Cricetulus griseus: one gene and its partners. The protein of the gene in region 4 interacts with the protein of the main gene of each other region in a biochemical or structural test. Links are inferred from orthologs where the notes say so. Each region holds a gene or a part of one and is shown on either strand. Other genes may lie near its edges.

Region 1 (3,958 bases), about 97 Mb from region 4:
AAATATAGGTAGAAAGCCAAAGCACTGTGTGCTCAGTGCTCTTTCCAAAGATGGTGGTTTATGAACCTTTCATTTCTGTTTGCTCTCAAGGGTTTTCCTTCTGAAAAGGCAGAAGGTTTTGTAGCAGCAAGAGAGAAATTCCATTAAGAGGAGGGAAATCAGGAGCTTATTTTGTTTTTCTTTCCTTTTCCCTAGAGTCTGAATGGTGTTTGGCTGAACAGAGAGCGTCTGGCACCATTACAGGTTTATTGCATCCAAAAGGGAGACCATATTCAGCTTGGAGTGCCACTGGAAAATAAGGAGAATGCGGAGTATGAATATGAAGTTATTGAAGAAGACTGGGAGAGGCTGTCTCCCTGCCTTGCCTTAAAGAATGACCAGACAGGGGGGAAATATAAAGACTTGAGAACTAAAAGGAAGTTCAATTTGGATGGATTAGAACATCCCGCTGCTGAAGGCCCCTCAGATCTCAAGTGCAAAGTAACTGCAGCCTCTTGTGATGCCGCTGAGCCAGTGAAGTTACTTGGGAAAGGTGAAGCAGCAAGTCAGCCCTTGGGATGTTTGTGTCCTAAGTTGACTTGTCTTGAGGCAAGTGACGAGGCCACTGGGACTCATGCTTGCCCTACTCTTCCAAAGGTCATCGAACGCTACCCTAAGAAGCAGAAGGCCTCCCACCCCTCAGCGTCTCAGAGCAGCCTTGAGCTGTTTAAGGTGAACATGTCCAGGATTCTGAAGCTGAAAACCCAGATGCACGAGAAGCAGATGGCTGTCCTGAGCGTGAGGAGGCAGACCCGAAAGGGGAGCTCGAAGAAGATCGTGAGGATGGAGAAGGAGCTGCAGGATTTACAGTCTCAGCTTTATTCGGAGCAGGCTCAGCAGCAAGCCCGAGTGGAGCAGCTGGAGAAGACCTTCCAGGAAGAGGAGCATCACCTCCAGGTACCACAGAGATGTAGCAGGCAGAGGTCCCCTCAGCTGGGCAGGCGCGTTGTGAACTTCTGGCTAGAGTTGTCTCTGAAGCAGGGACCAGATGCTAAACTTTGGAGACAGAGTGGGAGCAGAAAGCCAAGACAGAGTTTTGCAAAGGTTTACAGTTTCAGCACACAGATGAGGTCAGGAGCCAGTTAGGGTACCAAGATGAGGAAGGTGGCTCAGAAGCCAGCTGGGATGTGACTGATCTCTGATGGAAAGCTGAGGTGTTTCAGATCCAAGATAAATTCAGGGAAAAGCTGGATAAAGAGCAGGATACCACGAAACCGTAATGTCCTCAGGACTCATTGCTTTGCTCTATGTAGTTAAAACCAAGTCACAGACCAGAGCAAGTGCAGATCAGCTCATTGTACTGTCCTTGTACATGGCAGCTTGTTGGCTGTAAGACTGACTAGCTAACAGGGGTGGGGTGAGGAGATGTTGCTCTTGGTTTCTTTCGTCTAGTCCCTCAACCGATTTGCCCCAAAATAAACACACAGATGTTATATTAATTATAAAACTGTTGGCCAATGGCTAGGGCTTCTTATTGGCTAGCGATGTCTTAATTACTAACCCATTTCTATTAATCTAAGTATTTCCACGTGGTCTTATCTTACCAGAGAAGGGTCCGGACCTCTTAACTCCTTTGGTGATTACATGTGATCTCCTAGTGGGATTTCTCTGCCTACCTTTCCCAGAATTCTCCTTGTCTCCTAGTCCCGCCCATCTCCCTGCCTCTATTGGCCACAATGTTTTATTCATCAACCAATAAGAGAAAACATATCCAGAAGGACATCCTCCATCAGGGGGATGATGGTTTTGTTCCTATTTTGGTCAGTCAGAATGCCATGGAAAGGTACACAATCGGCTGAGTGATAAGATGTATCTGAGTGGTTCGGAGAAAGGACCACGAATGTGCTCATCTCCAAATAATCCTGTCCCTGTTTAAAATGTCACTTCCTGTGTGGCAGGAGCCTTATCAGTTGTTTAGGTAATGGTGAGTGTCAATTCCCTACTGCCGACTTAGAACCAAGAAGGATCAGTACAGCTGAGGTGAAAGGTGTTTTTATCCTGCTTGGGTCTCTCTGGGCAAGGAACAGCCTGTAATAGTGTGAGCTTATTTCTGGAGAATTTATAAATTTCATTCTAATCTCTGCCATCCCCTTGAACTGGTCGGATTAGCTAAAGCCATTGGCTATATAGGTGTGTTCAGGTCATGTGTGGTGGACGTGCTTGGCTTCTGTTTCCCTGTCTGCTTTGTGCCTAGAGTTAACATGCGTGGCGTGGCTACACTGTGGGCTAAAGATACAGCTTCGAAGTCTTTTTTTTTTTTTTTTTTTTTTTTGGAGCAGACGGATAAAGACGGGGAGACTGGTTTAGCGATTTTTTTTTTTTTTTTTTTGCCTGACTTCGAGAAGCAAATTGGGTTCTTTGTGTCAGCTGCATCTCCCTCTGCCCTGGGTGTAGCCTGGCCTGTCACCATTCCAGAAGCTGTTGCCCCCTGCTTCATGCTTGGTGTTTGGAGCACCATATTGCCTGACACTCTATTTGGAATTCTGCTTGGTATTAAAATGCTTAGTTTTTTTGTTTTTTGTTTTTTGTTTTTTTAGGTGGTTTTTTGAGGTAGGATTGCTCTGTGACTTTGGAGGCTGTCTTGGAACTCGCTCTTTGTAGACCAGGCTGGTCTCGAACTCACAGAGACCCGCCTGCCTCTGCTCCCGACTTAGTGTTGTTTTTAATCGTTGTAATTTATCTTGTTGAGACAATATATGCGGTAACATTGGAAAAATGGTTTTCAGGGTGGTGCATTAAATTATGAACGATTCAAAATCTCCCACCCTGTAGGTAATCCCTAAGGCAGAGAGAACACAGGCTGTGTGGAAGAAGCTGGCCACAGATGAGTGGCAGTTTGAATGGCTGCAGAGGAAAGTTGACAGAGGTTCAGGCTAGGGCAGAGAGAAAGTGGCTTGTGGAGTGTGGTCAGTGTGGAGAGACAGAGCATGGAAACGTGGTGGGTGCCGGCCTGGGGGGTTGCACTTGTGGCTCAGTTTTAGCCATTTGAGTATCATGGCATTAGGTAATAGAAGAAGCTTAAACTGTCACCCAGTGGTCTTCAAGGCCACTCGGCTGGTGGCTTGAAGGTGACATCCCTGAGCATGCAGTGCTTGAGCAAGTAACACTGTTCAGAGCCTTTGCTGACAACAGCTTGAAGGAAAATGGGGATTTTTCTGTCGCTCCCTGCCCCATGCTGTTCCTTGTCACATCTGCTTCTTGCAGGATTTTGTTCCCTTTCCCTGTCGACTGCAGGGAAACCTTCATCTTGTTTTGGCTTTTCAGGGTTTGGAGAAAGAGCAAGGAGAAGAGGACCTGAAGCAGCAGCTGGTCCAGGCTCTGCAGGAGGTAACCTAAATCTCTCCCATTTCCAGAGGCTGTGGTAGTTGGCGAGTGGGGAATGGCAGGCATCACTGGCCACTAGCTGCCTCCACCTCTTAACCTACTGCTCTGTGATCTCCAGCCTGCAAACAGAACAGGTAGCAGATGCTCTCACCATCAGCTTGGAGACTTGTAGCCTCACAGATACACACCAGATCTCAGCATGGAAACACAGGTCTTCTTCATCAAGCAGGAGCCACTCTGGTGATGACGGAACACCCTGTAGAAACTGGGGAGCTCTCTGGAATAGTGAGGACAACTGAGGGGAGGGGAGATGTTAGCTAAGGTCTGGGCCTGAGGGCCTTTGTACCTCACTATCCCTGCACTGTGGCATCCAGAAACCATTCAAGAGTGTTCCAGTCGAGCATTTTAGGTCAGTTTGAGAATGTCAGTCTAAAGCAAAAAACATCCACTTGACAAAATAGTGACACAGCATCAAGTCCCCTAGAAGACTGCTTGTAATTTGTTGTTGGACACTGTGGCTGCTTTTGTATGGCTACCTCTTATGTGCTGTTGTGTATCTTTAAAACTTGCTTCAGCTGGACGTAGTGGCACACAC
Region 2 (3,958 bases), on a different chromosome or scaffold from region 4:
ATGTACAGGGGTGGAGGTGGAGCTGGAGAGTAGGGTCAGTGATTGAGAGTGCACACTGCTCTTCCAGATGATCCAAGTTCAGTTCACAGCCCCATAAAGGCAACCCCAGGGGGATCTGACTCCTCTGGCCTTGGTAGGATCCTGCACTCAGATGCATGTACACACAGATGCGCACACATACACACAATTTAAAACTAATACACACACACACACACACACACACACACACACACACACACACACACTATAACACACACACATATTATAACACACACACACACATTATAACACTAACACACACACACACACACACACACACACACACACACACACATACACACACGACCCTGGGGGTTGGGGAGATAGCTCAGTGGTTAAGAGCCCTAGCTGCTCTTTCAGAAGAGCAAGGTTCAGTTCTTAGCACTCACATAGTGGCTCACAAACATCTTTAACTCTAGCTCCTGGGGATTCAATGCCCTCTTCTGGTCTCAGTGGGCACCAGGCACACACATCATGTAAGTATATGCACATCAAATAAAATAAGGTGAGTATGATGGTGGTACACAACTTTAACCCCAGTATTCAGGAGGCAAAAGCAGGTGATCTCTGTAAGTTCAAGGCCAGCCTAATCTACATAGTGAGACCCTGCCTTAATAAATCAAATAAATAAGTTTTTTAAGAAGAAAAAAAAAAAATCCAAGAATGATCCTGGCTCAGCAGGAGGCAGGGGCAGTAGGGCAGGCTCTGGTAGATCTGACTTTGCAGAAAGGACAAGAGTGGCCCAAATCCCAAGTACAAGAAGCCAGGACAGCAACAGTTAACACTAAGAAGGTGAAAGCAGGTGGACTACATATGGTAGCCTGTTACCTGTTTCTAAGGAGCGGCAGGAAGTGGGACCAGATGAGAGGCTGGCAGCGATAAGCATGGCCAGATCTGGGGCGATGAGGGCACCCCTCTCAGGAGCTCCAAGCCTTCCTAGCTTAGCTACAACAGTAGGAAGGGGAGCTAGACCCTTGGGCTCTTTGACACTGCTAAATAAGGAAGCCTGGGAAGCAGTGTAGGAAGGCCTCACTCTCTAGAGTTTATAGAGGTCTGTCTGCATCAAAGAAGAAACAGCAAGTGCCTCAAGAAACTGTCCTGATGTGTAAACCCACATCTGGGCATTTTTAAAGAGAGTAACCAAACAGATAATTTGCTTATGTCTTCCTGGTTCTGGTTAGTGCCCCTTTGGGATGATACAGGGATCTATGGTGGTAACCAAAACAAGAACCACAGTTCCCCCGTAAGTCAATCACACACCAGGCACAGCTATGACACCAAAGACCAATAGTCATAGGTTGGGCTTAGAAAAGCCCCCATACTAGGAAACTGTGGGCTGGAGAAGCAGATGGTAGCCACAGGAACACAGGGTGTACTCCTGTCCTGGGCAAGGAGGTGTCATTTTTCCAGTTAGAAAATCAAACAAACAAACAAAAACCCCAGAAGGATACTGCTGAAGGCAAAGGACAAATCTTGACCTGGCTAATTATAGCAGTTTTTGGTACTTACAGGTAGTGGCTTTTCCTGCCTCCTGGCCCTTGGGGGAGGAGGGTGTTGTGCAGATCAGCAAGAATAGCCATTCTACCCTTGCTACCTCTCTCTCTGCCAGATAGGGTTCAGAGGTGGGATCTAAATTAGGTCTGCCCATGGCTCTACCATCTGAACTGCTGAAGCAGAGCTGAACCTTGGGCAATTCACCTCCCCCCTGCCCTTGCAATGACTGAGCCTCCCACCAGCATGGAAGATGCCTGACTCCTATCAGAGAGTAAAGGGTATACAGGCCATCCCATAACCAAAGAGGACTGGATGGCTGGTGAAGGCAATCTACCCCTTGTACCTTTTGTGATAGATGCACAGGCAAGGCAGCCTGGCTATCGTGTCCCCCTGAAGCAGCTCTTCCAGGCAGATCACACACTCACCCGCATCTTTAGTCAGCACATCATCTGTAAGAGAGACAAGGAGACCAACAGGGTTAATCTCCAGCGGGTGGGTGGCACAGAGCAAACACAGGTCTAGAACTACTTGTATTATCTAAACCACTATGCTTCATGTGCTAGGGAACACAGCAATGGGAGGAATACGCAATCATTAGAAGAGCCTTCTGACCCAGAAGCCCAAGCATCAGGGGTATGGAAGAAAACAGTGCTTACTCAGACTGTTCAAGGACATCTTTGGAGAAGTTCACAGTAATATGAGCCAAAGGCATAGTCTGGGGTGGGAGGGATTACATTCCAGACAAAGGAAACTGTCAGACACCCAGGAACTTCAAGAAGTTTGCTAAGACAGGTTGCAAAGAGACTCAAAGAGTCCTAGGCAGGGGTGAAATCAAGTCCCAAGGGCAGAATTGTGCTGTGCTGTGCTGTGCTATGCTGAACCTCATCTCTTTTGCTTAGCCAGGAGGCACTAGAGGTGGAAAAGGGAGCTCACTCTGGAGGCCAACTCTGAGCATGGAGCAACAGCACATGTGCTAACAAGGGTCAGGCAATAGCCTGCATATGCCATTAAGAGACTTCACAGGAAAAGGGAAGAATAGAGAGTGATGAATCCAGAGGTGACTATTGAGTATCTCCACAAGGCTGTAAGTATCCTTTAGTCTAGATGTGGGGTTCAGATTAGATGTGGGGCAACATGTACAGAGAACAGACTAAAGAGACTGTCCAAGGAGAAAGTTTACACTAAACTCCAATAAAGCCACAGACAGGCCTGATAATGCAGAGGTGACATGGATCACACCCAAGTCCCCCCAAACCATAACACAACACCAAATGAGCAGGCTATGGCTGTTCAGGAAGGCGAGCTTAGATCACTTTCCACCCCATGGGGCATCAGTCCCAAAAGGTAATAGTAATACATAATGATACTCTGTGTCTATGTTTTCCTTTGAGCTGCAGGATCTTCCAAGCTAGGCATGGGACACAGTGTCATGTTCATCTTGTGAATGAGGAAACCCAGAGAAAACATATGTCAGGGGACTTGAGAATGGTCCAGGATTGGGGTCCTTTGTTGTGGTGACCTCTCTTCTCACTGTTGTTTGAGTCCTAATTATTTTGGTGGAAAGAAAACTATTAAGAACCCATAAAATATATTCAGTTGGGCAGTGGTGGCATATGCCTTTAATTCCAGCACTTAGGAGGCCAGTCTGGCCTACAGAGTGAGTTCCAGGACAGCCAGGGCTATACATTGAAACCCTGTCTCAACAACAACAACAAACCAATCAAACAAACGAAAATAAATTTTAAAAAGTTCACTGATGAGGTGGTTTGAATAGGAATGGCCCTCATAGGCTCATATATTTGAATGCTTGGTCACTAGCAAGTGGTGTGCCCTGACAGGGATTAGGAGATAATGGCCTTACTGAAGGAAGTGTGTCACTAGGGATGAGCTTTGGGGTTTCAAATGCTCAAGTCAGGCTCAGTGCCTCTTTCTTCCTGCTGTTTCAGATAGCTGTTCCGCTATCTCTCCAGCATCATGTCTGCCTGCATGCTGCCATGCTTCTTGCCACCATGATAATGTATTAATATTAAACCCTTGAAACTGTAAGCCAGCTCCAATTAAATGTTTTACTTTGTAAGAGTTGCTGTGGTCATGGAGTCTACATAGCAATAGAACAGTGACTAAGACAACTAGAATTTGCATTTTACTTGAGAATGTGTTCAAAAGGTAAGACAGACAAAGGAGATATAACACAATGCAGGACCCAAGGGACAAAGGCTTTCAACTTTGATATGCCTGATGCTTTTCATGGTAACATGCTGGAGAACAAAAATATGCTCAGTCTAGAGGTGGAGTTGTTCTGGAGGTACCCTTAGTCATTTCTTCCCCATTCTCTGGGACATCTAACCCCTGACATGGGCTTTCAGACTATAATCCTTCATACCCTTTGGCCACCTTTCTTCCAGATTGCAAAACAGTTTTTCTT
Region 3 (3,958 bases), on a different chromosome or scaffold from region 4:
AGCCTCTGACTTGAGTTGTGCTTTAACAGTCTTGAAATGAGGTCCCTGGCTCCCTCAGTCACAAAGTCAGGGAATGTGAACTCAACCTGCAAAATAAATGACAAAATGACACTAACAAGAGTCAGAGGTGTGCACCAGTCAACAGCAGCCCTCGGCAGGGCAGGGACTGAGGAGCAGCGCCTTACCCGTGATATCCTTCTGTAGGTCTCCTGGTGGGTGTGTGCCTCGAAAGGAGGCATCCCAACCAGGAACTCATAGCACAGGACACCCAGGCTCCAGAGGTCCACCTTCTCATCATGCATCCGGCCTTCAATCATCTCGGGCGGCAGGTAGTCCAGGGTGCCACACAGTGTGGTTCTCCTGAAACCAAGGTTGACGCACTCTGACATACATGATCACGTGGTGTGAGCACCCCAGACCCAGGAACTGCTGTCACACAGGTGCTCACCTGCATCCCCACTTGTAGGGAATGGATGGCAGGGAGTGTGTAAGGTCACACGCTAGCCACCACGCCTCCCCCAGACCAACCCCAGGACCTCTTAGGAAATCTAAAGAAAACAATGTTCTTCTCTCATCCCAAAGCCAGGCTGGGCTTTGAAGCAAGACCCATCCCAGAAAACAATGACGAAGTTGCTATGCAGTGTTCTCTGTAAACATTCTTTGGAGTCCGCATGAGCTCTCAGGTCACACCTGTAATTCCAACATCCGGTAGGATGAGGCAAGAGGACTGACAGGCTCAAAGCCAACCTGGGCTAGTGTGAGATTGTCTCAGTGAAGCGGGGATAGAAAAGGAAAGTCTTGGAAATACAAGGGGTCATTTTAGACGGTGCATTCTTTGGGTATATGCCCTAGAGAGGAATCGTTAACAGAGGAATCTAAAATGGCTGGAAGAGCTCAACATCCTTGGCCATCAGGGAAATGCAACTCAAAACCACTCTGAGACACCATCTTACTCCTGTCAGAATGGCTAAATCATAACACTAATGACAGTTTATGCTGGAGAGGATGTGGAGAAAGGGGAACACTTCTCCACTGCTGGTGGGAGTGCAAACTTGTACAACATTTTGGAAATCAGTATGGTGGTCTCAGGAAAATGGGAATCAGTCTACCTCAAGATCCAGCAATTCCACTCTTGGGCATATACCCAAAGAATGCACATTCATACAATAAGGACATCTGTTCAACTATGTTCATAGCAGCATTATTTGAAATAGCCAAAACCGGGAAGCAACCTAGATGTCCCTCAACTGAAGAAAGGATAGAGAAAATGTGGTACATTTACACAATGGAGAACTATTGAGAAGAAAAAAAACAATGGAATCTTGAAATTTGCAGGAAAATGGATGGAACTAGAAGAAACCATCCTGAGTGAGGTAACCCAGTCACAAAAAAGACAAACATTGTATTACTCATATGTGATTTTTAGACATCAAAGGATTACCAGTCTACAATCCATACTGCCAGAGGAGCTAGGAAACGAGGAGGACCCCAAGAGAAGATTGCATAGTTCCTTGAAGAAGGGGAGGTGGACAAGAACCCCTGAGCAAAGTTGGAGTGGGGGGAGAAAGGAGGTGGGAAGAGAAGAAAGAGAGTGGGGAGGAGAACAAGAGGCCTGAGACAGGGGAGGAACAGAGGAGGGCAAGAAAGGAGAGGCCTTCATAGAGGGAGACAGTGCACGTGTGGAGAGAGGTCTGGCGCAGGGGAAATGTTAGGGGATCCACAGGGATGACCCCAACTAAGAATCCAGGCAGTGGTGGAGAGGATGCCATTGATGCCCTTCCCCTATAATGAGAATGATGTCTACCCTGGATACTATTCCTAGAGCCTTCATCCAGTAGCTGTTCGAAGCAGAAACAGGCACCCACAGCTAAGCACTGAACAATACTCCTGGAATCCTTTTGCAGAAAGGGAGGAGGGATGAGCAAAGGAGCCAAGACTGCTGGAGAAACAGTTGACCTGACCTAGTGAGAGCATGGAGACCCTCGTCATAAAGCTGGGGAAACAGCATTGGACCAAACCAAGCACTCTGAATGTGGGCGCCAGCTAGGAGGCCAGGGCAGTCTATGAGACCTCTGACAGTGGAGCCAGTCTTTAACCCTAGAGCACAAATGGACTTTGGGAGCCCATTCCCTATGGAGGGAGACTATTGCAGCCCAGATACAGCAAGGAGGGCTTAGGCCCTCCCCCAAGGGAACAAGGGAGGGCGGGAGGGTGAGGGAATGGGGGGATGGATATTTAAATATGAGTGCCTCTAAAATAAAAGATAATAATGAAATGTAAGGGGCTACAAGCTGCGGGAGGCAGTCCATACTGCATCAATTTCACTGGGATCTTTAACCCTTCGGCTGTTTTAGGTTAGGGAGTTTAAAGATTTCATTTTTATTTTACATGTGTTTTGCCTATCTGTCTATGCACATAAATGTTGTGTCCAAGGAGACCCAGAAAGGGCATTGCATCTCCTAGAACTGGAGTTACAATTGTGAGCCACCACATGGGTACTAGGAACTGAACCCAGGTCCTCTGCAAGAGCAGCCAGTGCTAAGCCACCTCTCCATTTTTTAAAAATTTAAAAATTTTTTAAAAAGCATTTTGCTACATGAGCCCAGACTGACCTCCAAGGCCCCCTGGCCCCAGCCTTCTAGCTGCTTCTGGGATTGTAGGTGTTGCCACCACACCTGGCTGAATTGTTTTCAAGACAGTCTATCCAGACTGACTCCAACTTGAGGTCCCCTCCTCTCTCAGCCTGTCAGTTCCTGAGATTAAAGTGTACACCAGCACACTGGGCTCAGTTAAATTTCTCTCTCACACTTTCAACAGAGGGAGAGGGAGAGGTAGAGGTAGGTGTGTGTGTGTGTTTGTGTGTGTGTGTTCTGATTTAAAAGTAGCCATAAAATTCTTAAGCTAAAATTCTTAGCTTAAGAAATCTAAGAATTCAGCTAACATTAGCGGCAGTGACTGCAGAGTGCCTCTGTCTTAAGGAATGCACACTGAAAACATCTTGATCTACAACTGACTTTAACTATCCACGAAGCCAAAGCCACAGTGCCCAGTGCTCTGGGATGGAGCAATGGACTCTGCTGCCATCACCAATCCAGCGTTTTCTATCCACTTGGGCTTTGAAGACCACAGCTGGAGCAAGCCGGGAGCACAGTGGAGGCCCCTGGTGCTGAGATGGTGTGGGGCACACTCAGACATGTCTGTGCCCCCACAACCACTCTGGGATCCTCAAAAGGTGGTCCCCAATAACCAGGCAACTATGCTGGGGACTGAGTTTGAGAGGCAGTTGGAGCAACTGTCAAGATTCATACCTATTATCTCTCCTAAAACCTGCAAGCTGTGGCTTTACACTGGAGTCACCACAGTCCTGGCTAATCACACAGCCCCACACACTATAGCTCTCTGGTGTTTGTTTCACTGGTAGGCAGGAGCGCCCACTGATGTCATCAGTTCAAAAAACCTGCCACAGTGCAGCTGGAGACAAACAGAAGTGACCTTAAATGATGCTACTTTTTAAAACAGGCTTTACATTTTTTTAAACAACATTTATTTGCATTGGGGTGTATGTGCACCTATGTGAGGAAGCCTTCCACAGGAGGACAATTTGGCTGGAGTCAGTTCTCTCCTTCCGCCAAAATGGTGCCAGAATTTAACTCAATCACCAGGCTCGGCAACAAGCACCTCTATCTGCTAAGCCTTCTTCTCCTCCAGCCTCCACTAGGCTTTTAAAAAACATCATTAGGTAATATTTTTAAAAGTAGTCCCAAAACCGGCAAGACCCTGACAGCAGGAGCCCCATGCACATGAATTCCAAAGCTATTCAAACCCAAATTCAATTGGCAAAGCTGGGAAAGTTTGCCTCCTTTTCAATTGTTGTATTAGATGACGTCTCTGCTTCAGCTTTAAAGGGGACAGTAAAGGTCCATTCCTGCTGTTGACACAAGAGGCAGGCATCCTCAGC
Region 4 (4,645 bases):
GTGGCATCAAGGAACAAATGGCTTTAGAAATATACAAATACAATGGCCATCACGAGGTAGAAAGCACCATATTAATAACTCACCAAACCAAACGACTTAATATTTGTGAGATGAGAAGAGTAATATTGCGAGGTATAGTGTCCTATACTTTTAGTTTCAGAACGGGAAGGCAGCAGCAGGGAAATCTGAGTTTGAGGCCAACACAAGTTACATGGAATATTGTCTCAAAATTTAAAAAAAGACTATTAGCAATAGTAAATATTATCCTTTGAAAGCCAAAGTCTACCAAGAAATAAAATAATCCAATAGAAAAAAGTATGTCCCTATGGCTTCATCGACCCTTACCCACTTACTGTTCTAGTCACATAGACCCCAGTATTGTATTAACCTGTTTGAAACAAAGTCTCATATATTCTAGACAGGCCTCAACCCCCTAAGCAGCCAGGGATGATAAACTTCTAAACCCTCCTTCCTCTATTACATTAGAATCATAAGTATAAAACACCATGACAGACAAGTGTGGTGGCACACATCTTTAATCCCAGCACTCGGGAGGCAGAGGCAGGTGGGTCTCTGTCAGTTCCAGGCCAGCCTGGTCTACAGACGAGTGCCAGGACAGGCTCCAAAGAGAAACCCTGTCTTGGGGGGAAAAAAAAAAGTAACACTTAAATACAATACCAAAACTGGTTTGTGTGCAGTATTAAGGGTAGAACTCAGAAAGCTTGCAAGCACCATATCTGAGCACTCTCTGGCCCAAAAGTTACTTTTCAAAATAAATTTTAATGTAAATACGTTTTCTGCTTGAGGTGTTGCTTGGTGGTAAAGCATTTGCAGAGCACATACAAAGTCCTAGCTAGTTTCAATTCAATCCCTAACAGTAGAAAAAGCATATTTTTAACTGATTATAGAACCTACATAATATAAAAATGGATCTAAAAATTATTCTAGGGGGTGTCAGTGGCACACACCTTTAATCCCAGCACTGGGGAGGAAGAGGCAGGAGGATCTCTGGGAGTTCCAGGCCAGCCTGGTCTACAGAGTGAGTTCCAGTACAACCTCCAAAGCTACACAGAGAAACCCTGCTTCGAAAACAAACAAAAAAATTATTCTAATCTCTTAACCTGCCCTATTGATGGGGGAAAAAAAAAAAATCCTTTAAAGCTATAAGTACTGAAGTCAATTAATATTACATAAATTAGAGGTGGGTGCAATAAAATACTGTAAAGATTGTATGTCTCAGCACGAGTTTACCACTACCTTGTTTTAAAATAGCAAAATGGCAACACTGAATATATGCTTAAGCATTGTGTACCAAATGAATTAAACAAGCTCCTCAACATCCTACTTTAAACCATTTCTGTAAATTTATAGCCAATATTCCACAGAATTTATTTTCCCAATCAAGACTTTTGTATTACTGCAGAATATTAATCTTCACAATCAAGCAAAAATCAAAAAAAAAAAAAAAAACTACACCAACTGTTAGGTTCAGTGTGAATTTTAGAGAATTATATTCATTATCAATCTGTGGTATGTTTAGTCCCTAACCAAACAATAAAAACCCGGTGGTCTGGTGGGAAGCAATCATTTTTCAAATGGAATCCTGATTAACATGATCACTAGTGTTCATGTCTCTGTATCAGAATTAAACGAGTCAGGACTTTCCAACGCACGACCTAACAATTAAAATCTACTTTGAAAGAATCTGAGATTCATAATATAGCAGTAAAAGTTTATGTCAAGACTACAGTGCTCGTTGACAATTTATTCTTTCTTCCTAAGAATGTCTTATAAATGGTCTTGTTTTCTAATTTAAGCACCTTTCTGTCATACACCCAACCTCACACCCATTTGTGACTGCCCGAGGGACTAGACAGTGCATCACATCCTTCAAAGGGGCCCTCGATATAATTAGTACAAATCTCGCCCAAAACTTCAGAAGAGTGAACAGTGCTGTAAATTCAAGCTCACTAGATTACAGCAAGCAAAACGAAGCTTCAATATGGGCATATCACTGGCATGGTGAGCAGTGTAGGGTTTTTTTTTTTTTAACTAAATATCCTTCATAAAAACAGATGCCTATCGTGTCTGAAGTCTCAACGCTGTTATGTAAAGACTTCAGAAAATCAAGATACGAGTTTTTTCATGGTTCCATACGTACTCACCAAAACACAGTATTCCTAAAGAGCCTCGAGACCGCTTAGTATACGGAAGGCGCACGAAAACAGAGGCGAACTATTACAGATCATCCCCATAACCGAGATGCTTTGGGCTGAACCAGTGCCTCGGAACAGAAAACAGTTGGCCAAAAAAATAAAGAAAGAAAAGAAAAAAGAGTTTGCCAACCGGAGTAAAATCACTTCGCGGAGATAACCGGCAGCAACGCGGGGAAGCGAACACGGCGGGCAGGACACCCACCCGGGCGCCAAGCCCCCGGCGCCGCCGACCGCGGGCAGCCAGGACGAACATGTGCGGTCGGCGGCTGGACTCGCGGCCCGCGGCCCCGCCCGGTTCTCGGGGCCGGTTCATTCATTCTGCACCCGAGACCGCCGACCAGGAGAAGGGGGCTCCGGGGCGAAGCGGCCAGCCCAGGCCACAACCCACGCCCGGAGTCCAGGCCACGCCGCGATTCCCGCCCGCGGGTGAAGAAAGCCTGGCGAGGCCCGCGCCGGTCCCGCGCCAGACGCCAAGCCCGCAGCCCCGCCCTCCACCCGGCACCGGCACCGGCCTGGCCTCCCGTGCCGCGCGCGGCCTCGCAGCCCGAGAGCCCCCGGCGTCCGGCTTTCAGCGGCGGCCGGAAGTCTCCTCGGCGCCCCCTCCTCAGCGCCCGACTTCCCCGCCGCCGAGGCCAGACCCTTCTCCGCGATGCCTCGGGCCCCTCAGCGGCTGCCGAGTGAAGCGTATGGCCGCGCGGCCCGGCGCGTTGGTGGAGGAGAGCCGAGCGGGAGGCCCGAAGCCCGCCTGGGCGGTTACCTTAATGATCCTGCGGGGCAGCCCGGCCATCTTGTCAGATCCCGAGTTCGGCCTCTGCTCTTGTCTCCGGCTCCGCTCGCCTCACGCACGAGTGGAAGTCCCGGACTCCACTTCCGGGGGACGTCGCCGCGCCCGCCGCCGCTGCCTCCGCCGAGGCCCCTCGGGAAATGTAGTCCCTGCTTGGACGCGGGCTTCGGGCGGCCTTCCGTCCGACCTGATGGCCCCCTCCCCCGCACTCCCCGCCCCAACCCCAGCCGGGGGTGGCGGAAGTGACGCTCCGCGGCGGGGCAGGGACTTGGGGGAGGCGGCGCCAGGCAGCGCCGAGCTGCTTCGCCCGCGGCAGAATCTGCGCGAGACTGGGTGTCCGGCGTCCACGAGTAGCGTACGTGCGACCGACCACGCCTGCGCCGGTGGGCGACGTAACAAAGGCCCGGCCCCCGGCGTAGCTCATTCATTCATTCGTTCCATTTGTTCATTCAATGTTCCCGCATTGCGCGGCGGGCTGACGCTGCGCCGCATCTCCGTCGACCTGGTGATCGGGGGGCTTGTTCCAAACGAGAAGCACTCGATGGCAAAGCTTCTAACTGGGAAACTGGTTGTCAAGGCCCTGACAAATAATTCTAAATGTTTTAATTTCACATAAAAAAAAAAGGGGGGGGGCCTCGCCTGGCGGTGTGGCGCACGCCTTTAATCCCAGCACTTAGGAGGCGGAGGCGGGAGGATCTCTGAGTTCGAGGTCAGCCTGGTCTAAAAAGCAAGTTGCAGGACAGGCTCCAAAGTTACACAGAGAAGCCCTGTCTTGATAAGCAAACAATCAACAAAAAAAGGGAGGGGGGCTCTCCGACCTGTCCCCCACCCCAAAAGGATTTGCAACAAGTAGGGGAGTAATCCCTAAAGGAGTAGGAGTACCTTCAGAGTGAAGGCCCTAAAAGTGGAGGGGTCCCAAAAGGGATTGTTGGGTGTTTTCATTTCTTTTCCTGTTGCTGTGATAAAATATCCTGTAGCACGAATAATAGTTGATATTGATAATAAAAACTCAGAGACAGATATTGAGGTTAAGGCTGAAGATCAGAAAAACAAAGTGGCCAGCCACTAGAGAGTTCTCACCTCTACCAAAGCTCAGAAGGAAGGGGAGATCCTTGTCCTCAGACTGCATTGCTCTCCACCAACCTCTAAATCCAAGCTTTCCTGTCTCCTTCTGCCTTATGATTCCTCTCTCTCCACCTCCCTACAGGTTTTCCTAGGGTGGTGGTGAACGCAGATCCATCTGCCTCTGTCTTCTGGGATTAAAGGTGTGTGCCACCAACTGTCTGGCCTGAATGGCTGTGGCTAGCTTTGCACTCTGATCTTCAAGCAAGCTTTATTAGATCATAAAATATCACCACAATACTCCACAAGGCAACTTAAAGGAAAAGGGGTTAATTTCAGTTCAAAGGGGATAATCACCATAGTTAAGGACAGCTGGTCACATCGAATTTTTCATGCTAGTGCTTACCTCTCTGTTTATACAGCCCAGGTGACAACCACAATTAAGATGGGTGTCCATACATCAATTAAGTCCCCCACAGGCATGCCCAGAGGCTTTTTTCCCTAGGTGTTTCTAGATTCTATCAAGTTAACAACACTAACATACATGGTTTGGTGCCTTCAGGGGCCAGATCCACAGAACTGG

What was found.
Region 1: the proteins of Ube2n (region 4) and Rnf8 form a complex in vitro, tested with the Homo sapiens proteins (7 studies listed by BioGRID). The link is inferred for Cricetulus griseus from reciprocal best matches to the Homo sapiens genes UBE2N and RNF8.
Region 2: the proteins of Ube2n (region 4) and E3 ubiquitin-protein ligase ZNRF1 form a complex in vitro, tested with the Homo sapiens proteins (3 studies listed by BioGRID, with this or other methods). The link is inferred for Cricetulus griseus from reciprocal best matches to the Homo sapiens genes UBE2N and ZNRF1.
Region 3: the proteins of Ube2n (region 4) and Aurka form a complex in vitro, tested with the Homo sapiens proteins (3 studies listed by BioGRID, with this or other methods). The link is inferred for Cricetulus griseus from reciprocal best matches to the Homo sapiens genes UBE2N and AURKA.

The regions. Positions count from the first base shown.
Region 1 is NW_023276806.1:258,084,917-258,088,874, forward strand, and holds part of Rnf8 (E3 ubiquitin-protein ligase RNF8), read left to right. Parts: intron 1-195; coding exon 196-936; intron 937-3,303; coding exon 3,304-3,366; intron 3,367-3,958. UniProt on the Homo sapiens protein: E3 ubiquitin-protein ligase that plays a key role in DNA damage signaling via 2 distinct roles: by mediating the 'Lys-63'-linked ubiquitination of histones H2A and H2AX and promoting the recruitment of DNA repair proteins at double-strand breaks (DSBs) sites, and by catalyzing 'Lys-48'-linked ubiquitination to remove target proteins from DNA damage sites.
Region 2 is NC_048596.1:188,041,413-188,045,370, reverse strand, and holds part of E3 ubiquitin-protein ligase ZNRF1, read right to left. Parts: intron 1,983-3,958; coding exon 1,877-1,982; intron 1-1,876. UniProt on the Homo sapiens protein: E3 ubiquitin-protein ligase that plays a role in different processes including cell differentiation, receptor recycling or regulation of inflammation. Mediates the ubiquitination of AKT1 and GLUL, thereby playing a role in neuron cells differentiation.
Region 3 is NC_048599.1:6,985,458-6,989,415, reverse strand, and holds part of Aurka (aurora kinase A), read right to left. Parts: intron 361-3,958; coding exon 186-360; intron 87-185; coding exon 1-86. UniProt on the Homo sapiens protein: Mitotic serine/threonine kinase that contributes to the regulation of cell cycle progression.
Region 4 is NW_023276806.1:161,500,724-161,505,368, reverse strand, and holds the start of Ube2n (ubiquitin-conjugating enzyme E2 N), read right to left. Parts: upstream 3,162-4,645; 5' UTR 3,004-3,161; coding exon 2,974-3,003; intron 1-2,973. UniProt on the Homo sapiens protein: The UBE2V1-UBE2N and UBE2V2-UBE2N heterodimers catalyze the synthesis of non-canonical 'Lys-63'-linked polyubiquitin chains. This type of polyubiquitination does not lead to protein degradation by the proteasome.